Linked DNA regions of Saccharomyces cerevisiae S288C. The protein of the gene in region 4 interacts with the protein of the main gene of each other region in a biochemical or structural test. Each region holds a gene or a part of one and is shown on either strand. Other genes may lie near its edges. The genes, in order: ASI1, UBA1, SSM4 and UBC7.

Region 1 (7,915 bases), 190 kb from region 4:
AATCGGCGAAAGCTACCGTAAAGACAGTCACAAATTACCTACCACACAAGCAATGGGAGCCTACAAATATTTAGAAGAATTAGAAAGAAAGAAGCAATCTGATGTTTTGAGATTCTTGCAAAGAGTCAGGGTCTGGGAATACAGACAAAAAAATGTCATTCACAGAGCCGCTAGACCAACTAGACCAGACAAGGCTAGGAGACTAGGCTACAAAGCCAAGCAAGGTTTCGTTATCTACCGTGTCAGGGTTAGACGCGGTAACAGAAAGAGACCTGTTCCAAAGGGTGCTACTTACGGTAAGCCAACTAACCAAGGTGTCAATGAATTGAAATACCAAAGATCCTTGAGAGCTACCGCTGAAGAAAGAGTTGGCCGTCGTGCTGCTAACTTGAGAGTCTTGAACTCCTACTGGGTCAACCAAGACTCTACTTACAAGTACTTCGAAGTTATATTGGTTGATCCTCAACACAAGGCTATCAGAAGAGATGCTCGGTACAACTGGATCTGCAATCCCGTCCATAAGCATCGTGAAGCTAGAGGCTTGACTGCCACCGGTAAGAAATCCAGGGGTATCAACAAGGGACACAAATTCAACAACACCAAGGCCGGCAGAAGAAAGACCTGGAAAAGACAAAATACTCTGTCGTTATGGAGGTATAGAAAATGAAATAGTTAGAACCGTATATAGATCAATAATAATGCACTATGAACATTTTTTCAACCTGATTACTTCATCGTTCCTTTTCTTCGACTTATTTTTTTTTTATTATTCTTCGCTCTTTGGCAGCATACGCAATTTGAATTTGCAGTTTTTGACTCTTTTTTCCTTAGCGGAACGAACAATATTAATCATGCCAACTAAGTCATTGCAGAAGTCAACTTATCATTTATAAAGAAGATCCTACCCTACAATGTGTGTACCCTGATGTGCCCAGAAATGAATTGACTCCTCTCATAACTTGTTAATATTCGGATGTGCATATCACGTTCGGATCTATGTATATAAATGTACGCTCGTTTTAACCTTTAGTGTAGTACCTAAAATCTTTCTTACCAGCAACTAATAGCCCTTGAAGTAGTTTTGCTAGCTTGGACATCAAAGCACATATCACCATCAAATATGGCCAATTACACAAAAACCGCAATCCTATCCGTCTATGACAAGACAGGTCTACTTGATTTAGCCAGAGGCCTCATCGAGAAGAACGTTCGTATTCTCGCCTCCGGTGGTACTGCTCGTATGATTCGTGACGCTGGTTTTCCAATCGAAGACGTTTCTGCTATCACACATGCCCCAGAAATGTTGGGAGGTAGAGTGAAAACTTTACATCCTGCCGTTCATGGTGGTATCCTTGCTAGGGACATCGATAGCGATGAGAAAGACTTGAAGGAACAGCACATTGAAAAAGTCGATTATGTCGTTTGTAACCTATACCCATTCAAAGAAACTGTTGCTAAGGTGGGTGTGACTATTCCAGAAGCAGTAGAAGAAATTGATATTGGTGGTGTTACTCTATTAAGAGCAGCTGCTAAGAACCATGCTAGAGTCACTATTTTATCTGATCCAAAGGACTACTCCGAATTTTTAAGTGAATTATCCAGTAATGGTGAAATCTCTCAAGATTTGAGAAACAGATTGGCATTAAAGGCTTTCGAACACACTGCCGATTATGATGCTGCAATTTCAGATTTCTTCAGGAAACAATACTCTGAAGGTCAAGCTCAAATTACTCTACGTTATGGTGCCAATCCACACCAAAAGCCGGCTCAAGCTTACGTCAGTCAACAAGACAGTTTACCTTTCAAAGTCCTATGTGGTTCACCAGGTTACATTAATTTGTTGGATGCTCTAAATTCCTGGCCCCTGGTTAAGGAATTATCCGCCTCGTTGAATTTACCAGCAGCAGCATCGTTCAAGCATGTATCACCAGCTGGTGCCGCTGTGGGTATCCCATTGTCTGATGTTGAAAAGCAAGTTTATTTTGTTGCCGACATTGAAAACTTATCTCCCCTGGCATGTGCCTATGCTAGGGCCCGTGGTGCTGATAGAATGTCTTCCTTTGGTGATTGGATTGCTCTTTCCAACATAGTTGATGTTCCAACAGCTAAGATCATATCTAGAGAAGTTTCTGATGGTGTTATTGCCCCAGGTTATGAGCCTGAGGCGTTGGCCATTCTATCCAAGAAGAAGGGAGGTAAGTACTGCATATTACAAATTGATCCAAACTATGTTCCAGAAGCTGTCGAAAGAAGACAAGTATACGGTGTGACTTTGGAACAAAAGAGAAACGATGCCATAATCAATCAATCAACTTTCAAAGAAATTGTTTCTCAAAATAAAAATCTCACTGAACAAGCCATAATTGATTTAACGGTTGCCACCATTGCTATTAAATATACTCAATCTAATTCCGTATGTTATGCTAGAAATGGTATGGTTGTCGGATTGGGTGCAGGTCAACAATCTAGAATCCATTGTACAAGATTAGCTGGTGATAAGGCTGATAATTGGTGGTTCAGACAACACCCTAGAGTTTTGGAGATTAAATGGGCTAAAGGCGTCAAGAGACCAGAAAAATCTAATGCTATCGATTTATTCGTAACCGGCCAAATTCCAACAGAAGAACCAGAATTGTCTGAATACCAATCGAAGTTCGAGGAGATTCCAAAACCATTTACTCCAGAAGAAAGAAAGGAATGGTTGAGTAAATTAACCAACGTTTCTTTGTCATCGGATGCATTTTTCCCATTCCCAGACAATGTTTACAGAGCAGTTAAATCCGGTGTCAAATACATTGCCGCTCCATCTGGTTCTGTCATGGACAAGGTTGTATTTTCAGCTGCCGATTCATTCGATTTGGTTTACGTAGAGAACCCAATCCGTTTGTTCCACCATTAGATGGCATGAGTTCAGAGTCAATATGCCATAAATACAGAAATGACGGCAAATCGATGTATAGTTTATTCTTTCCTCCTCTAATGATATAATCGCCACTGACACTTTTATATATATACTAATGATACGATATGTTATAAGTACAATTTTAATTCGAACATTTCCCAAAGAAAAAAAACTTGATTTATTATTATGATGTTTATATGTGCAACACAGAAAGCTCTAGCTATAGTAATTAATGCTAGAGCTCCCAAACGAAAAACCTCTTTTAGATACCATGCAAAAGTTCTTAAACTATTATTTACTATCTGAAACAGGATGAACCTTACAGTACCCATGAACTTTACTCCTACAACATACGCAAGTGCTGAACCCACGTAAACCCAAAGAAATTCTGCAATCCTCGCAAATGGCAAAACATCGGCAGGGCCATAATACTGTATTTCTTTCATTGACTTTGCATACCGCGCAAGATAGATCAAAATCACTTTCTGTACCAAAAGTCTCATCTACTTCACTTAACTTTGTATCTAAGATAGACGCCCTTGTCAAAGTTTTATCTGACAGTAATTTTTGTTGAAGGATACGGCTAGTTGACATGATCCAATTATAATCAGTATGAACTTCATTATCTTCGGAAGAAAATAAATCCAGTAGGGCATCCCGAGTTTCGTTGAAAATCAGTGAATCTTCTTCCAAGTTTTCTTCATCAGAATCCCCCAGTGACTCAACTTCAGAAGGCTCGTAATCTTCAGAATACTCATCATCTGATGTGTTCAATAGTTCAAGTTCAATATCTTCTTTGTGGCCGGCACTATTATTGAGAGAGTTCGTTTTAGTTATCTTTAACATTTTTGATGGGTCGTTGTCGGGGATGTCCTCGTCCTTGTTATCTCTGAAGCCAAAGAATACTTGGCCTACAAGCTTCTTCATGATCCATATTATAGATTTTGGAAACATTAAAAAAAATCTTTGCTTTAATATTGATGAATTTTTCTTTGGGAAGCTGATGGAAGTGTTCTCTTTATACGGTTTAGAAAGTTCATTTAAATAACCGCTAATAAAAAATTTCTCATTAACATTATCCGGGATGTTAATAGCAGGAAATTCTCTTCGTATACCCTTTTCCATTAGTTCAGTTCCTGAGCATAATAATAGTGCGAATTTAGTGGCCATAGCAGAAAAATCTTCTTCTCCCGTGTAATTTAAGTATTTTTTCCAATTTCTACTGAGAGGGTAAAACTGTAAAAGTTCGCAAGAATTACGTGATTTTCCAAATGGATCCCATCTAATTAAGCATGATAATTTAAAAATCAGTAATGATAAGCAAATAATAGACACTGAAAACAGTTTTGGAAAGTGCCTAAATTTCACCGAAAATGGAAGGCTTTTCCAGCCGCCCTGCTTAACTCTTATCCCTAAGTAACAAATATGACAGAGGTTCATAATAGTACTAAAAAGTAGACGATAATTTCTAAGCCTGAAAATCTCCACCAAATGGATCAATATCCTGCTCAAAATAGCCATAGAACAGTCTATAATGTAATCAGGAGAATCTAAAAATTTAGTATTATTATTAGTCATTGTATAAAACTGAATCGAAAGTTCAAACAATGAATAGTCAGTGCCCTCCAAAGGGCTGGAATTCCGCATGATGGTAAATATGGTTTCGACACAATAAGAGTAAGCGAAAGCGTAGAATATATTCAGTAAAAATTTTTCTTGGGCAAAAGCAGGGTCGCCTAATATTTTGAAATCCTTACCCAAGGTCAGCGGACCTAAGGATACCATTGCTAATACAACTACTGCTGATACATGGAAAACATTACTCAACCATAACGGTAAAGTACGTCTGGAACCGTTGTTAAGGACGGCGTAAAATACAACGAACCGGTTCAGGACAATGGCGATTACAAAGCAAAATATGGCGTACGGGCTGAAAAAAAACCCTATTGTATCAAAAACAGACCTTAGAGTTGGGGGAATTTCTTCAGATTTAACGGTTTGCTCGTACTGCAAGTTCACAGCCCCAATAAAGGATAATCCAAGTCTATAAGGAAAGTTGATAACATTTGCGAAAGTGGAGTTACCTGAGATTACGGCTTGTGATGTTTGATTCAAATAGCTAAATGAATTTATGAACACATTTTCTGAAGAAGTGGAAGAGTTCATATTCTTAGCATAGTTTCTTTGTAAAAAGAAGAAAAAAACCCAGATAAAATTAAGAAAAATACCCCAAAGTGCAAATTGTCTATAAAATATAAAAGTAAGCAGTGATTATCTTCTTGAGTTAAAATTGTTGTGTGGTGAAAGAGTAATTTTAGTACTTCCTTCTATTTTTCTGTTCAAAACAATATAGTTTTCGTAATTGTGTTTTATTGTATTTTCCAATGTTTTTCATATTGCTTACTCAACTGACTTCAAAGTTTGATTCGTAGCTTCTCAATATTTCAACATAAAGGGGCGCCCTCAAAGGAATACGCGAGAAAAAAATAATGGTTGCTAAGAGATTCGAACTCTTGCATCTTACGATACCTGAGTATTCCCACAGTTAACTGCGGTCAAGATATTTCTTGAATCAGGCGCCTTAGACCGCTCGGCCAAACAACCACTTATCTGTTGAAAAGGTGTGACTATAGCAACTATAAGTTGTTATGAGTTGAATAGAATTTAAACTCATTATGGGATAAGCTGCTCGTCTATGCATTGGTAAAAGCACCTCGTTAATATGTAAAGGTCAAAAGGTCATATCAGCGAATAATAAATTTGGATCTTCCTATACTATATAAGAGAGGTTCACTGAACGCAGTCCGATCGGTTTATTATTTGAGATATAGGTGAATTTTGAGATAATTGTTGGGATTCCATTGTTGATAAAAGATTATAATATTAGGTAAACAGAATATACTAAAAGTTCTCCACGAGGACATAGGAATCCTCAAAATGGAATGTATATTTTTACATACTAATATTACGATTATCCCTCTTTCTATTTTATATGTTTCATTATCCTATCATATTATCAATCTTTGCATTTCAGCTTCTTCTAACTTTGATGACAGCTTCTCATAATTTATATCATCATCTAACACCGTCTATGATAATATATTGATAATATAACTACTAGTTGATAGACGGTAGTGGATTTTTATTCCAACATTATTAATCGTGACTAATATAACAAGTTCTCTGGTGGTTACCATATATTTAATGTAAAGACTCGCATGACACATATATATGACTACCACATAAATGTTTAATTTGAAAAAACTTCAGCTCTACTAAGGTACCTGTTGAAAATATCGAAATCCACAAGGACAATAATTTTGCTTGGTAATATTATTATTTTTCTTCCATTGTTTATGTTGATAATTAGAGGTTAAAAATTAGTATTAATGAAGAAGTGAGTACTGATCTTCTTATACTAAATAAGAGAGGTATATAAAACACACGCCGATTGGTCATATTAATTATGACCAATATAATAGTGATTCCGGTAGTTACTATACATTGATGTGACGACTCATATTCCTCATATATGTACCTACCATAACATGTTCAACTAATAGGTCTTTAACACAGCTTCAGTATTGTCTGAGCTTCTCGTTTAACATTCCTTCTGCAATAGGCGCAATCACACTTAAACGTATACGAGTTGTACATTAATATACGATGTAAGCATTAGATTGTTACCATAGCAACTCATGTCACTATTAATTACTCTCGTTCCAACAGTTTATTATATTATCAACCCTGTTTTTCATCTTCCATGGAATTTGGTAACTGCTCCTCACCGATTTATGTCATCTTGCTATTATATGGTAATATACCAAATGTGAAGGTATGCAATTGATATTTTTAGATTTTACCTTTTGGCAAAAAATCAGCACATTAGCAATAAGAAACCGTTTTATCGTTTTGTTCATTTTAATGACTTCACGGAAATTACTAGTTATTAATAGTATTTTACTCGTGAAAGATAATAATCCTTCCAATGATGATTACACTCAAGATACCCTTAAGATTTTTTGGCGTCCATAGAAAACTTCACTATTTATAGAAAATCCTGAGTGCTTCTTTCTTTGTTTATATACTCTGTCATCCACTATTCTACGTGAATATTGTGCGAATATTTTGATAATTGTGAACTCCATTGTTGATCAAAGGCTATAATGTTGTGTATACAGAATATAATAGAAGTTCCTCTCGAAGATATAAGAGTCCTCATAATGGAATCGGTATTTCTACATAATATCACTACTTTTTTTTTGTCCTTCCGCTTTATATGTTTCGTTATCCTATCACATTATCAAATGACTTTGTGCCACTGTGTTTTGACAAAATTACTGTAATATAATCAATAGTATTTACATGTTTGTACCAGAAGTACTTGCATCGCATCCAGTTCTCATGCAATATAGTTGTATACCATGTCGTTGAAAGGAACCAGAGTAAACACTTCTACCAGTATTTCTTTACGGTTCGGATCAAAACCATCACTCATTCGGTCATTCTTACCGTACGATAAACCAAATTACAAGGAAAAGTATCCCTAATTAGAGATCACTGCATCCGTAATAGTTTTTTTTCTATTTTGGACTTTTGTAAAAAAGGGATTAGGGATACGTTGCTCATAAAAAAATTGACGAAGATTTTAGATAATGGCAAATAAAAATGAAATAGTATCAATATACCGAAAAATTAATCACACTCAATGCGACTGTGATAGCTGATAAGTGGAGCTCAGAAATATTCAGAAGCGTAAGAATAATGAAAGCAACCATTCAAAGAGTAACATCTGTATTTGGAGTTCCCCGAGCATCTGTATTCGTGCCAAGAATCAGCACACCATTTATTTTGCATAATTATATCTCTAATGGCAGAATGGACCTTTTTTCCAAAGAATTCCACAATGGCCGCGTATCCAAATCTGATCTTTGGTCAAGCAACAAGGAAGAGGAGCTCTTAGTATCTCAAAGGAAAAAAAGACCGATCTCTCCTCATTTAACTGTTTACGAA
Region 2 (8,838 bases), on a different chromosome or scaffold from region 4:
ACAAATCCCGTCTTTTCATACACATTCAGTTTCTTACTAGAAGGAATTGTCCCATCCACGGATGGAAAAACTGGCTCTTCACATTATTTGGCGAAATGGTCGCTTCTTGTTCTTGGTGTGGCTGCGGCAGATGGTATTTTCAATTTTGCTAAAGGATTCCTATTAGATTGCTGCAGTGAATACTGGGTTATGGATCTTAGAAATGAAGTTATGGAAAAACTGACGAGAAAGAATATGGACTGGTTTTCTGGTGAAAACAACAAGGCTTCTGAAATTTCTGCTCTAGTCTTGAATGATTTGCGAGATTTGAGGTCTTTGGTCTCTGAATTTTTGAGTGCAATGACTAGTTTCGTTACCGTATCAACGATTGGACTAATTTGGGCGTTAGTATCGGGCTGGAAGTTAAGTTTGGTTTGTATTTCGATGTTTCCACTCATAATTATATTTTCAGCAATATATGGAGGCATTTTACAAAAATGCGAAACAGATTATAAGACATCTGTTGCTCAGTTAGAAAACTGCCTGTACCAGATTGTCACTAACATTAAAACCATTAAGTGCTTACAAGCTGAATTTCATTTTCAATTGACCTACCATGACTTGAAGATAAAAATGCAACAAATTGCCTCCAAACGCGCCATTGCCACAGGATTTGGTATATCTATGACAAACATGATTGTCATGTGTATCCAAGCTATTATTTACTACTATGGCCTAAAGCTGGTTATGATTCACGAGTACACCTCAAAGGAAATGTTTACGACTTTCACTTTGTTATTATTCACTATTATGTCATGCACTAGCCTAGTAAGTCAGATACCCGATATAAGTAGAGGCCAACGTGCTGCCAGTTGGATCTATAGGATTCTTGATGAAAAGCATAATACCCTAGAGGTTGAAAACAATAATGCTAGAACAGTGGGAATAGCTGGTCACACCTACCATGGCAAAGAAAAAAAACCAATCGTTTCAATTCAAAATTTGACATTTGCCTATCCATCTGCACCTACCGCCTTTGTTTACAAAAACATGAATTTTGACATGTTTTGCGGACAGACGTTAGGTATCATTGGTGAATCAGGCACAGGAAAGTCTACACTTGTGCTTTTATTAACAAAACTTTATAATTGTGAAGTAGGCAAAATTAAAATAGACGGTACGGACGTAAATGACTGGAATTTGACAAGTTTAAGAAAAGAAATTTCAGTGGTTGAGCAAAAACCTTTATTATTCAATGGAACCATCAGAGATAACCTAACTTATGGTTTACAAGATGAAATACTTGAAATTGAAATGTATGATGCATTAAAATACGTAGGAATCCATGACTTTGTAATTTCATCACCTCAGGGCTTGGATACACGTATTGATACAACTTTACTGTCAGGTGGACAAGCGCAAAGGCTTTGCATAGCCAGAGCACTTCTGAGAAAATCAAAAATTCTGATTTTAGATGAGTGTACTTCAGCCTTGGATTCTGTCAGCTCCTCTATCATCAATGAGATCGTCAAAAAAGGTCCACCTGCTCTACTAACAATGGTTATAACGCATAGTGAACAAATGATGAGGTCTTGTAACTCGATTGCAGTTCTTAAAGATGGTAAAGTGGTTGAGCGAGGTAACTTCGACACTTTATATAATAATCGCGGGGAATTATTCCAAATTGTTTCCAACCAAAGCAGTTAAACCCAAAGAAAATATAAAACAAAAAACTAAAACATACTCAAATATTCGAGACTACATTAATAATAATAATAATAATAATAATAATAAGTTTTTACCAAAGAAAAAGTTGTCAAAAGTCATACATATATATATACATATTTAATGTATATATTTAATTTATTTTTTTATTTTGGTTAATTAGTTACTCATAGATGAATGGTAATGAAAGGAACTTCAACATCCTCTCCTTCCTTGTCATCTGCGCAAATTTCGAGAATCATTGTAGATACATGTGCCGGAATATCTTTCTTAGTCACTAATTTAACCAATTGAGTTATTGGTAGATTTAGTCTTTCTTTCAATTTCTTTGGAGGGAAAAATGAGGCATAAAGAAGAGAAACGCCATAAGAAAGCATTGTTATTTCTAACCCTTCATCTTTTTCAAAATGTTCAATTAAATCACTTAATTTAATATCTCCCTTGATATCAAATCTATCCCAAATTTTATCATATTTCTTGTTGTTATATTCTCCCTTTGGTGAAGCAATTGGTTCCGAAAAACCGAAAAATGGCAAAGCTAAATTAACAAAGCCATTCTTATATTGCTCAATATCTGTCTTGTTGTCAATCAGTTTATATAATTCCAAATTGACCAAACCAGTAACCAAAGAAGTGGTTGTTGCGATGGCAGGAATAATACGGCCAGCTATGAATTTGGTCTTTTGGCGATCAGCAGTTTCGATGAAGTAGTTTTGAGCTCTACAGTTAGAACAAGCCGTTATAAATTCAATATGATGATTAGTGTCATCGTCTTTCTCGAAATCTACAGGCTCCAGTTTAAAGCCAGCCAAAGTAGAAGGATCTGGTAGGGATGATACCAGCTGATCAATTTCATCTGAGCCATTAGCCGCGTTGGCATTTGGATCCGGATCATCGTCATTAACTTGAATTTTCAAATTGGCATTTGGAGTAAATTCTGGAATTATCATATGATCGATGACGGACTTATACTCGTCCACGTTGGGTTTAGAATTAGAGTCATCACTTTTAATACCATAATTATAAGCGCGTAAACTAGCACCTGCTACGACAAAATGGAAGTGATCGTTATTGTAAATATCAAACTCTAATGGTGTTGGAGCACGCTTAGCACCGGACCAAAATGGTTCACCGTTGGAAGTCTTGGCATCCTTGGGGAAGTTGAACAGTAACTGCTTGATATCATGGTTGAATTTTTTTTCAAATTCTAACCTTGCCCATTTGATACAATCTTCAAAATTGTGTGGTTTACTAGATAGAGAATCTGAGATGGATTCTAGAACTCCCTTGACATCCCCGCTTTGCTTTAGTGTTTGCTCAACGAAATTCGGTTGTGTCAAGTACATATTAACGTTTTCGGCGGAATCAGTGAAGTAACCTTGGAAAAGAGATTTGGCCCAGGCAATGGTGTGATCAATCTTGTTTGGGAAAGAACGTAGGGTACACAATGGGATAGACTTTTCTGGTGGGTCTCTAGAAGAAGAGTATGATTCAGTCAATCTTGGAATGATGACTTGAGTATTACCTTTAGTACCTAGGGTACCAGATTCTAACAGTGGTTTTCTATAAAACACACAACGGCGATCTACGTATGTTCTTGCGTCGACATTGTCTAGAGCGTTGGTGACAAAATCCAGGCTTTCCCAAAAGGAGTCATTAAATATTTCCTCAGTTTCTGGCCCCACTTTATCAATTTTAGCATTTATCTTGCCCTTCAAATCGGGGTTCATAGCACAAACGGCCTCTGCCGCTACTTCAGATTTGTTCTTTCCGACATCCTTTGGTCTAAACAAGAACTGACGGTTTAAGTTGGACTTTTCGATCGAATCGTTATCCGTAACAACGATGTAACCGTCGGAGCCAGAACCAAGCCCCAAAAGTGCCCAATTTTTCAACATCTCACAACCAATGGCACCAGATCCGACAAGAAAGACCTTTGAATTGGCAATCTTTTTCTGAAAATCCAAACCGAAAACCGCGATTTGATTATCGTAACGAGAGTTTACTGGCTGAGTAGTCTTCTCATTTCTTGGGAAGTTTTTAGGATCTGGCAATGATTCCAAGGAATCAAAGTACATAAATTGCTTTAGCGGAGTAAATTTACCAGAACATGCTTTTAACACTTCTTGTGCCACAAGGCCACCGAAAAATGCTACGACACCCGGTATGTCACCTCTTGCCTGATAGGAAAGCTCTTTGATTAAATCTTCATTAACATCTACACCTTCACCCAGAACCTCCGGTTGCTGAACGGACAAATCGGTGACCAACTTGATTAATTCATTGGCGTCTTCGTCATTCATTGTTCTTGGCAGTTCACCATTATGTCTAACGGCAAACTGATGTAAAGCCTGAAATCCCAAATGCAATTGAGCAGCTCTGTCAAATTTAGCAAAATCCGAAAAAACAAACTCAGGATTGGACAGTTGTTGTTTCAAAGACTTGAATGAGATTTTACGGGGTACTTTGACTTCGGTGAAGATACCGCCCTTCTTATACTCGCCATATTCTTTGACTGAACCAATTCTGAATGCAAAGGGCCCCAAAACCTCAACTTTAAAAAGGGTCCCATCATTCAACTTATCAAGACCTTCTACTTCGGAGAACCTGACAAAATTTCCGTCTTCCAACCCGTGTCTGTTATCATCTAGCATGGTCACTGTTCCATCGGGCTCGATGTCTGAAACCATACCAGTGCGAGGTTCTTCACCCGTTGGGTCCAACACTGTGAACTCGTCACCTAGGTCTACGAAGGTGTTACCAAACAGCCCTCTTGTCTCCGAGGAAATGAATCTAATACCGGAGGAATGGCAAAATTCGTTGATTTTCACCTTATCTTCCAAAGAAACAGTGTCCGTAGCGACAACGACCTGGAATTGACTCAATTGGGTAACATCGTCTAAGGAATCCAGCACATTAACCGGGACATATGCGTTCAACTCTGCCAATTTGGCTCTGGTCACATCTCCTCTCTTTTGACCAATATCCTTTTCGGTCAAAAAGAATTGGGTTGATAAGTCTGCCAATTGAACCGGCTCAGGGTCAAAAACGGTCATAGATTTGACACCTGCCAACACAACGTTCTTCGCTATCTCAACACCTAGCCCCTTCAAGCCGAGAATTAATACGTTGGAGGTTTGCATTTTCAACATTGCTTCCTTACCCAACACATAAAGTTGACGAGAATAAAGACTTTCATCGATTTCTCCGGCGGCAGAGAGACCACTATTATTGCTGCTCATAGCTATAGTTATATGTTCTTTGCTTTGCTACTAATCTTACTTTTTGTTTGCTTATATCCAGCGATTGGCGGTTGCTCATCCTACTTAAAGGCCCTTTTTGATCATTTTCTTTTACCTTTATTTGCCACCCGCACCTTTTGTCACACTACACGAGAATATGCCGCATGGAAGCGTAATGGCAATTCAAGAAAGAGCTCTAATATTATTTACAATCACATGAATACAAGATCATAGCTTAACAAGGAGTGGATAGTCAGTAAAGGCGCCCTAAGCTCTACTAAAAACTGGGCTTTAAAAGATGTTCCTCGTCACTTGAGAATCTGTTGTCCCTATCTGGTTCCTCATCATACAATCCACTCCATCGTTTCTCCCACCCTACTACAAACTAGTGAGGCGAACGAGAAAATAAGAAACACTAAGGCTCGCTTTTCCTGCTGGACAGAGACATGCATTAGTGTTTGTTGTTCTCGCGCCAGTCGCTGTTTTTGCTTGCAAGTGCGACGTCCTCTTCTTCTTCTTCTTCTTTCTTCTTTGAGATGCGTAACAACACAACTACATTTTGTATTTTCCTCCCTTTTATACTCCTCCGCTGGAGTATTTTTTCGTATTTTTCACTTTTTTTGCTTCTTATAGGCCTTTTTGAACTATTTTCTGTTAGGGCTTAAAGAAAGCGCAGCAAATGGCTGATTTTAAATGCTGTTTTCTCGAAAGCAATGCTGATGATGTACCACAAAGTAGTATTTGCGCTTAGCTTGTCGATATAAGTATGCCTTTGAGCCAGTATTAAACTTCCTACTATCTCTTCTGGACCTCACCGTGCTATTCATATCACTGACGACGGAAAATGCCTCTTGTAGTAATCATTGAATGATCATCAATGGCTCGTTGACTCATTCTAATCTATAGCAGATATTAAGGTACGCAAAAAGTTCGACAAGGAGCTGGTCAGTATTAACACATTACCAAATCTGTTTGGTTCTACATAGAACGCCATAAAAGTAAGAAAAAAATGTCTGTGCACGCTGCAACAAACCCAATCAATAAGCATGTGGTTCTAATTGACAACTACGATTCCTTTACCTGGAACGTTTACGAGTACTTGTGCCAGGAGGGCGCCAAAGTGAGCGTCTACCGTAACGATGCAATTACAGTTCCAGAAATTGCCGCCTTGAATCCCGACACATTGCTTATCTCGCCTGGACCAGGCCACCCAAAGACAGATTCTGGCATTTCAAGAGACTGTATCCGGTACTTTACTGGGAAAATTCCTGTATTTGGAATCTGTATGGGCCAGCAATGCATGTTTGACGTATTTGGTGGTGAAGTTGCCTACGCTGGTGAGATTGTCCACGGTAAAACGTCCCCAATCTCTCACGACAACTGTGGAATTTTCAAGAACGTGCCGCAAGGTATTGCTGTGACAAGATACCATTCATTGGCCGGGACAGAATCGTCCCTACCATCCTGCTTGAAGGTTACTGCGAGTACCGAAAATGGAATTATCATGGGTGTAAGACACAAGAAGTACACTGTAGAAGGTGTGCAATTTCATCCGGAATCCATCTTGACCGAGGAAGGTCATCTGATGATCAGGAACATTTTAAACGTCAGTGGAGGCACTTGGGAGGAAAACAAATCATCTCCTTCAAATTCTATTTTGGACCGTATCTATGCTCGGCGTAAAATAGACGTCAATGAGCAGTCTAAAATCCCAGGTTTCACCTTTCAAGACTTACAATCTAACTATGATTTAGGTCTTGCCCCACCGTTACAGGATTTCTACACGGTGTTGTCATCATCCCATAAAAGAGCCGTTGTTCTTGCTGAAGTCAAGCGTGCCTCTCCATCGAAGGGACCCATTTGTTTAAAAGCTGTTGCTGCTGAACAGGCTCTCAAATACGCAGAGGCTGGTGCATCCGCAATTTCCGTATTGACCGAACCTCATTGGTTTCACGGTTCGTTACAGGATTTAGTAAATGTGAGGAAAATCCTAGATTTGAAATTTCCTCCCAAGGAGAGGCCTTGTGTTTTGAGAAAAGAATTTATTTTCAGCAAGTATCAAATACTAGAAGCAAGATTAGCTGGAGCTGACACTGTCCTTCTTATAGTCAAGATGCTATCTCAACCCTTATTGAAGGAACTGTACAGCTACAGTAAAGATTTGAACATGGAACCTCTCGTTGAGGTGAACTCCAAAGAGGAATTACAAAGGGCTCTAGAAATTGGTGCTAAAGTTGTAGGTGTCAATAATAGGGACCTGCATTCATTCAACGTAGACCTAAATACCACCAGTAACTTGGTAGAATCTATTCCAAAGGATGTTCTTCTAATTGCTCTATCGGGAATTACCACCAGGGACGATGCTGAAAAATACAAAAAAGAAGGTGTCCATGGATTTTTAGTGGGTGAAGCCCTAATGAAATCAACCGATGTGAAGAAGTTCATTCATGAATTATGCGAATAATTGAAACTTACACGGTACAATAGGGAAAAAAACTTAACGTTGTAAGGGCGAACGCCTTCATGTATAGTAGCCTATAGAAGATATATATATATATATATATATATATATATGACCATGAAAGATAAAGTAAAAAAGAAAATAAATAGCTTGTTCTTCCCTCTGGGGCCGGCGTTCATTTTTTTATTTTTTTATTTTTTAACTTACTTTTTTTCTCGTTTTTATCATATTTTCGGTTTTACGTTTTGGATTTACAATAATCATCATTTTATCACATATAGAACTCATTAATCTCTTTTTAAAGGATCCGGCTTGGAAAATTTAGGACTCTGTGCATATTTCAAACCTTTGAATTGTTGTTCTTTATCATGCGTTTGATGAACGACCAAGAACCCAACGTCTACTAACTTAGGCCAGTTGACAAACTGAATACCGTTCTTAAACATGAATTTGGTTGAAAGCGCCAAGACAATCGACGCACCTGCAAAATACAGCAAATTCTTACTGCTGGTAAATCTATCTTTAGGAAAAAATATCGTAGCACCTAAAACGGTCAAGGCTGCGCAAATGATCATTGGGATCAGCTGAATATACACTGGTCTTCTGTCGGGGAATGGCGACTTGATAGAAGCGGTATGTGGTCTAAATCCACCAAGGAATAAATCGTATGAATCCTGTCTTGGACCATCAGTCCAATTGTTCTGGTAATAACGTGATGCTGAATTCAAAAAATCGTTGAATGCACCTAGACGTGTACGCTTACCGGTTCTTGTGAAATCGGTCTTCAAAGCTCCAGTGCCCGAATATGCCACACTAACTGCATCTGCATTATCAGCCCATAAGTTTTGGTAAGAAGTTAACAATGGAGCGTTGTCTTCCCAAGTGCTTCCAGTAGCAACGACATCGGCACTTTCAAACTCCTTTTGCAAAACCCACTGGGCTAAAACAGATTGAACGACATTTGTTCTGTCCAAACAATCCATACAGTTTGTTCTTACAACGGAATGTTGCTCATTAACAATTTCAACGGTGTTACCATTAGAGTCTATGACCTTGTGGAAGAAATCTTCGTTAGATAAACCTAATTTCTCCAGGTGATCAATTAACAATTTCACTCTATGCCATTGCATCTTACGACATTCATGGTGGAAGTCAAAATACACGTAGTGAATCTTCGGATCGTTTAGCGCGTGCACGACTGATTCATAGCCCTCTTTCACGGGTAGTTCGTGGCCCTTTTGGTTGACTAGGTTAACCAAGTAGTTGTCGCCATATAACTCCTTTTGCTGGTCAAAATGCTTTTTTGTCGCATCTAATGAGTTTTCTCCAAGAACAAGATTTGGCTTGTACTTCAAGTTGTTGATTTCAGCCCAGTATATTGGCACAGATCCTCTTGTCTGTAAGAAGGAGAAAACGTGTATTTTTTCACTC
Region 3 (9,760 bases), on a different chromosome or scaffold from region 4:
AGTTGGTTGATATTGATGATGTGGCATTTAGTAGTCCAACTAGGGGTATTCCAAGAACCAGCGCGACAAGCAAGGGATCAAATGCACAACTTCTCTCTAATTATGGAGATGAAAATAACCAGTCTCAAGATTCTGTTTGGGATGAGGGCAGAGATAATCCTATACTCTTGGAAGATGAAGACCCTTGAAAGCACTCGCACGCATAGTTTTATATTTTTTATTCTTTTCCTCTTTATTTTTATTTTTTTAACATTCTCGCATAATAATAGTAACAGCAATAAAATAACTAGTAATATACATACTCACATAAATAGGCATATTTTTTATTTTGTTCTTTCGTATTCAGAATGGTAAATTTTTCTAATGAAATGTTTTACAAAAATTTTTTTTCTATAATTCTAACAATAAGAAATAAAACAGTGGAAAAACATATAACTTAATGTAGATATATATATGTAAATATGCTAGCATTCATTTTAAATGTAAGGAAGAAAACGCCTTTAACTTTCATCTGGTAAATTTTCTAAAGCTCTACCCTTAGTGTAAACCTCGTCTTTTACATTCTGTACAGTACTTTTGAACCATTGAATGAACAGCACAGTTGCTTGGAAAAAGAACGTAAATGACTCTAATGCTATCAGTAGTCCGAAATAAATATCTTGCATCCTTGTCCATGTTGGGAATGATTCGTTAAGCGATAAAGTGAAACTCCTGGATCCATGGCTAATATCGATAATCTGCTTTGTAGAAACATCACGTAAAAATACTAAGGATAAAATAATAATCGGCAAGACGTAAATTACCATGTGCAGGAAACCTTGTTTAAACAGTTCCAAAGCCATTGTTTTCAAGAAGTTCAATTTACTAGTATTTCTGTTTCTGAAAAATAGTTTCAATGACTTATATCCGGTTCCGAAATTGACCATTGACGAAATGATCCAAACGACGAATAACAAACTCTCGTCATATTTAAACCATTTGGAATTACCAATAGTGTATGAAGAATTGCCAAACACTCTGATGGTGAGATAATTGTAACAGGCTAGTATACCATCGGTTAAGACGACCCACGAAACCATAGTTCTAATAACCGCAATCATGATAGCTATAAACACCATCAGGTTATACTTCACCAACATACTATCAAATATACTGTTAAAGATGGCCATGAAAATTCCTTGACCCTCTTCCACATTATTGATATTATTAACAGGGGCATTGTTGATATCTCTCTCTGGTATATCGTGTTCCACTTCCTCTACTTCGTTTTCGTCAACGGCATGTTCATCGAGAGTGTTTTGGCCTTCTGTAAAATGAAGAATATCCTTAGCAATCTTGGATAAACAAACAGATCCGACACAGACATAATAAATGTTCAAATAGGAGTAGCTAATGTCAGAGAGTTCCTTCCATGCAACATAGACCTTATTTCTTTCACCTAACAATAGCTTTACGACTGGAAGAAAGCCGAAACTACAAACAAAGTTTATTAAAGCTTGACTAATAAATGTAACACCAAGCATTAAAATGGAAGCAAATAACCAAACCAGGCCAAGCAATGTCATATAGCGTAAACGGAAATCTGGAGGGACGTAAACGATATAATATTGATCATATTCCGTGTTTTGTTCGTCTAAATAACCAAATTCACCAGCAGCACGTTTGTTTCTCTCTTTAATTCTTTCCAAATCTAATGGTTTCAACAGCTTATCATCCTTTGTAACGGGGACAAACATTGTTTGTACATAATTTCTGGATACTATATCAGAAGAAGGAACACGCATTAAAACGCCATCGGGGACAAAATAAGCATGAACGTCACGAACTTGCCCAAACAATTCTTCTGCTTGTTCTAGAGTCTTTGGTTTAGTGAAAAGTTCTTGGTTTGACCATTCTGCATTCTTGGCAGCAATGTACTTGTAAAACAAATTGCGGTAAACAATATGGCCTCTCTCTGTTGGGGTATCTTTACCTAAGATAAAGGATGATAAACGTAATTTTCTTGAACATAACTTAAAAATTGTTTTCCAATACCTTTCCAATAAGGGTTTAACGTAAGAGCTAGACTCCAGGATCCTCTTCGTAAAATATAAAGTTAGCAAAATTGTATTGAACTTCCATGAAATAATTGATGTTGGTTTATAAGCTTCAGGAACGGATAATAAGTTCGATTTGAGCATGAATGGGAAAAAAATTCTAGTATGGAAGCCAAAACCTAAGACAATAAAAATCGCATAAATAAACATGGATAAGCAAAGCCTTGATAATTGAATACTCATCGGATGAATTAAACTATCATGCAAGATCTTAATATTAGGATCTTCTGGAGATCTGATAAAGAATAGAACACCTGGTCTAATGATATTTTTCCTAATCATTCCGATATATTTGGCAAACCAATACATGTAGAGAGTACCAATCGTCCAGTATACGAAAAGGGAAAATGGAGGCCATATTGCGCATATTGAAGGAACCCAAAGCATCCGACTATTGGATGCCAGGATTGGGCAAAATAATGAGAAATCTAGCATTACACCAGCTAGAATGGGGAATCCAGCCAATTCGATGAAAAATAAAGTGAACACCTTGAAAGTGCATTTGAGTGCAAATAAAATCTGGAAAATCAGCCTTCTAGTAGGGTTGCTCATTCCGTTCTCACGGCCATAACCCCTCGAGACAAGATTGGATGAAGCACAAACGATACTGACTGAGGTTAGATACGTCGTTAAAGCAGGTAAAGCTCTGATGAAAATTGAGTGCTTCATGGTGTTTTCAGTGTAGCCGTTGTAAAGATAAATGATGTCATGAATTAAGTGGTCTGAAATCCAACTCATCGCGACATCTACTTTAGGGACCAGTTTCGTCAGCCCATTGTAAGCTATATGAGCGCCAGACAAGTAGTAAAGATGGCACAACCCACGCAAAATAACCTTAAATATACCAAAATAAATTTTCAACAAACCGAACCCAATAAAAGTTGGAAACAAATAGGAAATTGCCAGGTATATTGCGGTGAAAACTACGGCAATTATGAAATAAGCAATGACATTCAACAATTTCAATTTGAGATTTATCACTAGAGGGCCTTGTCCTTGATCGTCTGGGTTAGCCTGTGCTGGTGGCACACCAACAGCTGCGCCAAAGTCTTGTTCGTCTTGATCGACATTTCCAGCTCTGTTTTGGGCAGGTGGTGGGATGAAAACCGGAGCGTTGGGCCTGTTTATTGCGTTCTGTTGAGCAGCGATTAGGTCATCAAATTCATTTTGCGCACGACGATTTGCCCACATGTCAATCGGATTGGGCTCTATATGATCACGGTAATCTGCCTCTTCTTCTGGTTGCTGCTGTTGCTGTTGCCCCTCTGCTTCTTCATCTTCTTCGTTGTCACTTGAAGACCCCGGTAAAATTCGTGACGAATCATCACCTGATGGTAAACTATTGTCAGAGTCGTTGTTCTCGTGCTCTTCCGTAGCCTCATCATGATCTAATTCGTCTACGTGGCGAAGGTTTTCAAAATTCCGATGGTCATTAGGATCCTGAGGTGGAACGTTATCGTTTCTGGGATTAATAACATTATTATTATTATCTGCTGCTGCGGCTGGCATGTTCAGTCTATCATGACCTTGCTCTTGACGATTTTCGTCATGAGCTCTCATTTCCCTCGCTAAATATTCAACCATTCTATCATCCATCATGGGGAATCTTTCCTTCAAACGTGATTTCAAGTCCTTGGGAGATAATCTTGGACCTATCTTGTGGAAAACCATTTTACTGAAAACATCCTCTCTTACTATCATATCGTATTGAAAGTACAATGCTATATGTAGTATCACTATCATAATAAATTGTAAAGACGTAAACGAATGGTTTTGTAAAAGTTGGTAAAAAATTGCTCTCGTGGTTAATTCTGGAGTTGCTGACTGATCATAACCATAAATCAAACTCTTTAGGAAATCACCAGGATAAGGGGATGATCCATCTAGCATCATGGTGTATAATTTTCCAAACATGTTCCATACCAAAGGAACACCGATAATATATAGTACAGCGGCCAAACCAATCGTTAAAGCCAAACGAGCTTTTTCGAAAAATGTCAAGATGCTCTTGGATAGTAGTAAAGAAAAAGGTATCTTTTCGGGCATGTTTTCCGCATATATCGTTTTGAATTGAATGGGATAGTGACAGATGTCACATTTAACATCCGCGCCTGGTTTTGAAATGTCTATATTTTTTGAAGCTACCCATTCCAACAGACAGGATTCATGCATGTATTTAATTGAGCCCCTGCATTTACAAGGATGGAAAAGAGGATTGTCCTCAGTAGCTTCTCCACGACAAATACGGCAGGTGGCGCCGGATGGCGCATCATCATTGAAAGTGGCGGTATCTGTTTCCTCGTTTGCCACCTTATGCAGTTCATCTCTTAACCTGGAGACATTAACGTCAGAATCAACATCCATGACTTTCACACTTCTAGTCTCTTTGATTCAATTAGTGGTACTCTTGGCTAAAAAAACAGTTTTTGAAATCAGTAACAAAGAACTATTCTTAACGTAATCTTATGGCTTCATAGATCGGTCATAATCATCTTTTCAATGTCCTCAATCGATGCGTTTTCAACCAGTTTTCCGTCTCTAATGATTTAATTTTTCTATTGAATTGAAAATGGTAAAAAGATAGCCCTGTAGGGGGCTCGAACCCCTAACCTTATGATTAAGAGTCATACGCGCTACCGATTGCGCCAACAAGGCTATTTCGTTGGAAAAACTACTTATTTTAGGAAGTAATAGCACATTTAAGATGCTTGTTGGAATGAAACTTTAAAATATCATCTGTTTAGTACTATTCATGTTACTAATTAAGATATGGGTGAATTTTGAGATAATTGTTGGGGGTTCCATTGTTGATAAAGGCTTATAATATTATGTATACGGAATATACTAGAAGTTCTCCTCGAGGATCTAGGAATCCTCATAATGGAATCTATATTTCTATATACTAATATTACGATTATTCCTCATTCCGTTTTATATGTTTCATTCTCCTATTACATTATCAATTTTTGTATTTCAGCTTCCTCTAACCTCGATGACAGCTTCTCATAATTTACGCCATCCTCTTACACCGCATGTGATGCTATTACTACTAAATAGATAACATTAGAATTTCATTCCAACAGCTTTAGTCTGTTTTAATAAACGCAACAGCACCATAATGTTATTAATTTTAATAAAGCCAAATTATGGCCTGCTGATTTCTTTTCATTGGTAAAAGTTCTATCACCCGTTCCCCATTAGTATGATAACCGATAAATAAACTCTATTACCTGGTTTCTTCGTTCCAGGAACGTTTATACCCTGACTACACATTTCTTTTGAAAAATAGGCCAATTGAACAATTAAGTTAGAAGCGGTTAGAAAAAGGTATAATAGGAAAAAATGCATCCAATTTTTACAGTTGAACCACTTGGGGGATTTTATTCTCGTATTGTAGCGGGAGCATTTTATCTTCGTACATCTTGGAAGCTGTAGATTAATCTTATTCCTATATGCTCCTTCAATCCACACAGCAAACCCCCAAATGGAAACGATCACTGAGTATGTTATAAACCAGCTTACGCTTATACTATTATCAAAATTCAAAAGATTGAACGGGGAAAATGGTAGAAATGAATATTGAAGCATTTTCGCAATGAAAATTAACCGCATTGTTTTTATAGTAATTCTGATGGCTAACGGCGGTAATACAGCATCCTTACGAAGAGCGGGAATAGTTCATTTGCCCTCTTTGATGGTTTGCATAACTGCGTTGTTGATTGTCTTAGGAATGGAAATATTTAACAAATATACCTATAATGAAAAAAGGGTCCTTCTTTTTAATTATTATTGGCAGCGAAAAAGTTGTCCCAGCTTCTACTTTTTTTCCCGTTAAAAAAGGAAGCGGCGGAAGCTGATCTACTCTCTAATAATAGACTACTCACTCGCATCTTGGTAACGAGTCCCTTTAAGATCTTGGTACATAAAGTTTGCTGCAGCAAAAAGGGCTTATTTGCGCATTCATGATATTAAACAACACCCTGTTTAGCGTGTTAATGATCCTTGTTTTATGCCAGTATATTCTGTATACCTTATAATAGAGTCAACAGTTAAATCCTAATCATTACCTCAGGACTTACCTATTTCTGAATATCATGGTCCACCATTCTACCTCAGTGAATTGATTGAACCGCACCATTGGAATTGTCATGGTGAGCCAGCGTGCTACAACTTCATGATTTTACGAGCTGAAAAAACACGCCCTTAGGCATAAAAACTCAATGGAAATCTGTAAAACAAAATAAATTTCGCTTTTTAACTTGGCCTAATGGGAATACTTTAACAATTGAACCTGTCACTAAATCAGAGGAAGTACATGCCTAATTACTCAAAGCTGTATTTAACTAATTTACCTATACTATCGCCAGGCATTCAAGGATGAAGACATGCGTCAATGCAAATAGTGACGGCTGCTGCATTAAAGAGGTGCTGCGTGGTGTAGAAAAGGCAATAACATGGACGATGCAAGGTTATTCAGACGCGTTGTTTGTATGCCATTTCCAATGATAATGTTGGTTGCGTTATATAGAAATGTGTTAGGAAGAGATTCTACAGTTGATTGCAGCTTTGACGTTATACTTACACCTTGGATAATGGCCAGTATGTTTTCCAAACGTATGGTGAATTGGTCTAATCCACGTCAAGCTGTTTTAAAAGTATGCAGCGCAGCCGTGACCTCCCGGATAGTTGCCAATTGGTTGTTTACGATGAACATATTATATACCAGTGGTGAAAAGGGTTTTTACTCGCTAGCAACAGCTGTGGTAATTAAAACGGTCACTGATGGGTTTACGGTGATACGGGTTTTCTCTATTCACCTGAACGAGTCAGTATATAGCAAGCCATTACCATAACATTGGGTAACGTCGCACGCAACACAGCTGCGGGTGTGTGTGGTGATTGGTTAGTCAATTGGTCATTTGGGCTGGTAATAGGGCATGTTCCCCTTACAGCTTGTACTGTCTCATTGGGGTTTGCTCTTATTGCTGGAATAATAAATGGAAAGGTTAACGACGACACAAATGGTTTTCGACGACCAAAACAAATTAGCAAATGGCAACCTTTTGTATTAGGGCTAATTAATGTAAGCGATGTTACCATTTTGTCTATTTCTGGCGGTGGACTGGTAGCTTCTTCATGTGGAGGTGCAATAGGCTATGCTACTGTCATTAAAACTGTTGCTACCACAAATGCACGTTTCGCGATTACTGAGGTGATCAAGGAAATAGTTATTCGTTATTCATCACAATTAAATGCAGAAAAAGTTTGTGAAGAATAAAAAACTCGAGCCGGGTGGTAAATTGTTTTAGTACGGTTAGCATCGGTTTAGTACCTGTACCAATATGTGTCACTTTTGTTATTTCTGCAGGCGATAATACTTATAATAAACGCATACATGATATCATAACTGCCTTTATACGGCACCTTACAACTAGCATGGGCGTTCAAGTGGTGGAGAACTATTACCTGTTCCTGAAATAACAGAATGAATCATCAATAAGGGCTTGTCTGTACCTCAGGATGATTTGAACAAGTTCCACTTACGCTAACATGAGGATGAATATCGTACTTATACTATGTAAACTGGAATAGAAATATTCCGAACGGTTATCCATTAGAGTGTTAGCCCTCAAACCGAGACTCTCGATAATATTGAATAGAAGATTTTACCACTAAATTTAGTGTGTATTTATGTATCTTAATAACAAACTATCCAACGAAGACGCAAAAGATACTATCCGCCCCGTAATCCTTTTGAAACCACTCAAGCTTATGGTTCACGTTATAGAACACAGGAGACGCTTGCATTATTGGTGATTCTAATATAGCTTTCTATTCCTCTATGAAAGGCGTCTGTGTTGGTGTAAATAGAAGAGGTGCCTGGTCACCTGACGCCTTATTTTGTGCAGTTACGATGTTCGAGTAGATTCGCTATCGAATTTATGCTCAAAATCTAGCTAATCCTCTTATTAGATCTTGATATGTATATATGTATGAAATTATAAGTTCTAGCTCTAGTTTTCAGTATCTTATTTATTTTTCTTTTTTTACAGTGTTAGAGGCCCATTCCCTGCAAATTTTTCTCTTCATATGAACGTCAACAAAGCTTGGAGTAAATATGATCTCACCATTAGGGTTACTTCCTATCAAGTTATCCACGTTGGTGGCTTTATTTAATGCGATTTCTTTTAGATAGTTTCCTTGGGATATTATCTTCCCATCGTTACTCTCAATTGGTAAATATTGTAATTTCTCGAACGAAGTGAACACTGCAAGAACAAAGAGTATCAATCCTGCATACGTTTCATACATGATATCTTTAGGTAACTTGCTGATTGCACCTTGTGCATTATTAAGCGAGTTAAGTTTTAATAAGTGATGAAACTCATAGCTTGAGAAACCAGAATGAAATAACACCAATGCAGAGACTGTATAGAGAAGCTTGGAAACAAACGACATCTCTTGATAATTGCTTTTTTGTATCTCGGTAGGGCTTAATTACGATCGCTTTTTAGATGCTACAATTAACATGCATAACAACTATCTGAGTTGACTTTATTTTATATTCAAAAGTAGATTTTTCTGCGCTGCGTTTACATCGCGAGTTTTCGAAGAAGCAAAGGGCGCTTTGATGACGATTGAATGGGCTTGGAAAATACATAGCCGAATATCATCCAGCGAGTATAGTCTAATGCGAAGGGATATTTGAAGTATTTATGATTAATCAAAAACTGCTAACGAAGCTATGTATGTTCAAAAGAAAGATGTGATATATATTATAGATCTTATTGTTTTACAAAAGAGCAATAAGTCTGACGTATATCTTTTCCCTTAATCTTGTGTGATTTCGTCGCTGTTGTCTATAGCATCTACCACGGTTGGGTGTTCCTCAATTGGTGCTAACTCTGAATTATTTTGCGAACTTTCTTCAATAGGTTCTAGATCGATTGTCATGGGAATATCTGGATCATTATTTTCAGTATTTGCATGGTCGGTTTCTCGTTCACTGTTGGGTTGTAAAGGCGCTTTTTCCCTCTGTGTTTGATTTGATTTTGCTTTCTGTATGTTCTTTTTATTAGGTTCTGGATTTTCCATTATGGTATCATCTACGATTTTTTTGAACAGCGGGCCAAGCTTTTCTTTGTTTAGTGCCACACGGGAAGCAAATCGTTCATCTAAAATATTCAGTTTCATTAGTCCCTTCAATTTAACTGTGAATAAAAGGAATTCAGTTTCAATATTCTCGAAAAACCCGGTTTCCGGCAAATCATTTAGGTTGGCGTCTTCATCTGCTACCCTTTCTAATTGGACGTCAACTTGCTTAGCGAAAAGACTCTCCAAATATAAAAATATTTTCAAAAGCACTTTGGAAGCATTATCGTGAAGGTAAAATGGAAATTGTTCACTCATACTATATCTCCATGTTGTAGCGTCTGCAGGCAATTTGAGCTCAAATATTTTTATTGCAACGATTATATCCATTAATGAAGTGCAAGCTGACCATTTTAAGTAAAACAAGCTGTTTATGTTTTCAAATGTTTCGTTTGTAGCCGCCAATGAAATAACGAGTGTGTTTAGACGACCTATTATAGCGGCAATTGGTTTCCAAACTGATCTAAGATCTTTTGAAATAGAATTCTCGTAATCCCTTACTTTCTCTATTA
Region 4 (2,520 bases):
TCAATCAAGTGCCGATGCAAGTCCTGTCATTGTTTCCAAAAGAGTGTCAGAGATTCTCAAAAACGACGTACTGTACGGCTTGGAAGAGTTTTTCAAATCCAAAGATTTCCATAATGATATAGTATTGGCCACAGAAAATTTGAGGTATGCATCCGATGGAATAGCTAAGATAACAGGACAAGCTATTGGTATTGAGGAAATCTTAGATTCAGTGTTCAGCAAATTTTGTATAGGAAAATAACCTAGTTACAATCATCGTGTATATAAATAAAAGAAAATTGATTAACGCTTCGGTACAGAGAGGTGAGAGTAGAGGGGCCCCTGATTATACACCAACGAAATGGAAATGGTTTGAATTCCTGAAAAGCCAGGAAGACATTGAGATTTTAACATATTTATTATGTGACATTTGCTTTCTTTTAGATGGTAGATATGCTTATTTATGTATATAGAGAACAGTTAAAAGGAAGACCAAATGATCATTAACCTGCTACCTGCTTTCAGAATCCTAATGATTTCAAAATGGATAACTTTACCTGTCTCTCAAATTCAGGTCTATTATCTCTCCACAAGATGCAAGCATCAATGTTGGCACCACTTTCGATATTGGGCTCACTCAACATGCTCATAACACTTAATAGAATTTTTTCTACACTTTGCACTGGCGACCATCTTTCTTCCGCTAATTCGTACATGTTAGGATCATCACCAGGGGAGTGTAGAATGGATATGCACACTTCCCCATTTGGATAAATATTTGGATGTAGTATGCTGGGTGTGAAAGTAAGTTTAGGTGGAGATAACGGATAGTCTTTAGGAAACTCTAGCTTAGCATTAAAAACACCATCAGCGTATGGCGTATCTGGAGGCCCTTGAATTAGGCAGTCCCAAATGAATATGTTATTCTCCGATTTGGGACCAGCCACTATACCAGGTGGAGAATCTTTAATTAACTGTTGAAGCTCCTTGAGGAGACGTTTCTGAGCGGTTTTCGACATGCTATGCCCTTCCAAATTACACTATTACTAGGGAAGTTCCTTTTAGGATAATCTCCTTCGTACGCTAAACGCCAGAGTTTACTTTGGCGCTTTTCGAGCTCTTGGTTTAGAGGCTGTAATCTCGTTTTCGGGTAATGGCGAAAAGGAGTTATAAGAAGGATCTCGAGACAATAAGCTGCTGCATCTTCGTGAGGTAGATGCGATGAGGCGCCTTGTTTTAAACTTGAAACAGTCTGGTAAGTTCTTCAAGCTCTATCAGAGATGATAATATTTAATGGGAACAAATATGCGTGTGCATCGTGCATCAGAGGGCATCGCTCTTCAACATGCAGGCATTCTCACCGAATGCTAATTAAGGTGAGAACTAGAGGAAGACCTTCACCCATGGCTATCAGAGACGCTATTTTAGTAGACTCTACATCGCAAAGTACAGAATACGAAAATGGTGCACAAATTGAAGGTGACTGCTGCAGCGCAATGAATCAACAGCCAATACTGTTTGTACGTGCCTCTGCTGTTAGAAAGGCAAGAATGATAAACGGAAAATTGCATATATTAATGGAGGAAGGTTTCACTGCTCATGAGCCTAAAGATATTAGCACATTTACCGATGATGGTAACAAATATATCACCGAAACGGAGTTTCTTAGGAAACACTCTCCCAAAGCTCCGGCAACAGGAACAATATCTCCGGACTCTACCAAGTCATCTTCTTCAAGTGAGAAGAAAGAGCGAAGCCGGCTTCAACAGGAGCCTATACGACATTTTTCAAACTGCTGTAAGAAAGATAAATCACAGAACCCAGCTTCTAATGGCAAGACGAACAAGGCACCGTCTGATGACATATTTACGCCATACGGCTCCTTGGAATCTACGTCCGCTTTTAACGATATTTTACAAGAAAACTACAATAGTTCTGTTCCTGGTGCGCATGACAGTTCAGAAACACTCACCCCACAAAGTACAACAACGATTGCTGCTCCTCATTCAAGCGACGTTGCTTCGAAAGTTGAAGTCCTGACTCATAAGGGCATTTTTTTAAGCACGCAGTGCTCTTGTGAAGATGAAAGCTGCCCATGTGTTAATTGTCTAATCCATAGAAGCGAAGAGGAACTGAATTCTTATATTCAACAAAGTGGTGTTCCTTTAACCAATATTGGTGAAGCTCAAATTACTGATAAGATGATGGATTATTTGGATGATTGTAAATGCACTGACAAGGAATGCATATGTCCTCCGGATAACTGCACTTGTGATGGATGTTTTTCTCACTCTACAAATATAATTCCATTTGAAAAATTCTTTTTCTATGGAATTCTGAATGCAAGATTAACAAGGAAAACTCAAATAAAATTCAAAGGTAAATTGGTGCCGTCAAAATATTGGTGGGATTTTTTGAAGTTGCAAGTGCCATTGATGACAGATGCTCAGTTAGAATTACTTGACATTCATGCGTGGTTTCAAAAATTAGTCTCTAATTATGCACCACATCTAAGCGATGCCACCACTTCATAAAATCACG

Evidence for each region.
Region 1: the proteins of UBC7 (region 4) and ASI1 form a complex in vitro, tested with the Saccharomyces cerevisiae proteins (one study listed by BioGRID).
Region 2: of the proteins of UBC7 (region 4) and UBA1, one has a biochemical effect on the other in vitro, tested with the Saccharomyces cerevisiae proteins (3 studies listed by BioGRID).
Region 3: the proteins of UBC7 (region 4) and SSM4 form a complex in vitro, tested with the Saccharomyces cerevisiae proteins (4 studies listed by BioGRID, with this or other methods).

What each region holds. Positions count from the first base shown.
Region 1 is NC_001145.3:502,486-510,400, reverse strand, and holds ASI1 (putative ubiquitin-protein ligase ASI1), read right to left. Parts: upstream 5,069-7,915; coding exon 3,194-5,068; downstream 1-3,193. Other genes in the region: 60S ribosomal protein eL15 RPL15B, read left to right, coding at 53-667; bifunctional phosphoribosylaminoimidazolecarboxamide formyltransferase/IMP cyclohydrolase ADE17, read left to right, coding at 1,121-2,899; protein SHH3, read left to right, coding at 7,667-7,915. UniProt on the Saccharomyces cerevisiae protein: E3 ubiquitin-protein ligase which transfers ubiquitin to substrates promoting their degradation.
Region 2 is NC_001143.9:35,271-44,108, reverse strand, and holds UBA1 (E1 ubiquitin-activating protein UBA1), read right to left. Parts: upstream 4,947-8,838; coding exon 1,872-4,946; downstream 1-1,871. Other genes in the region: ATP-binding cassette a-factor transporter STE6, read left to right, coding at 1-1,686; TRP3 (bifunctional anthranilate synthase/indole-3-glycerol-phosphate synthase), read left to right, coding at 5,956-7,410; phosphatidylinositol-3-phosphatase SAC1, read right to left, coding at 7,695-8,838.
Region 3 is NC_001141.2:295,550-305,309, forward strand, and holds SSM4 (E3 ubiquitin-protein ligase SSM4), read right to left. Parts: upstream 4,461-9,760; coding exon 501-4,460; downstream 1-500. Other genes in the region: SUMO protease ULP2, read left to right, coding at 1-188; EMA17 (Ema17p), read right to left, coding at 5,280-5,708; EMC5 (Emc5p), read right to left, coding at 8,130-8,555; cohesin subunit IRR1, read right to left, coding at 8,928-9,760. UniProt on the Saccharomyces cerevisiae protein: E3 ubiquitin-protein ligase which accepts ubiquitin specifically from endoplasmic reticulum-associated UBC6 and UBC7 E2 ligases, and transfers it to substrates promoting their degradation.
Region 4 is NC_001145.3:317,158-319,677, reverse strand, and holds UBC7 (E2 ubiquitin-conjugating protein UBC7), read right to left. Parts: upstream 999-2,520; coding exon 501-998; downstream 1-500. Other genes in the region: MSS1 (Mss1p), read left to right, coding at 1-241; MAC1 (Mac1p), read left to right, coding at 1,260-2,513.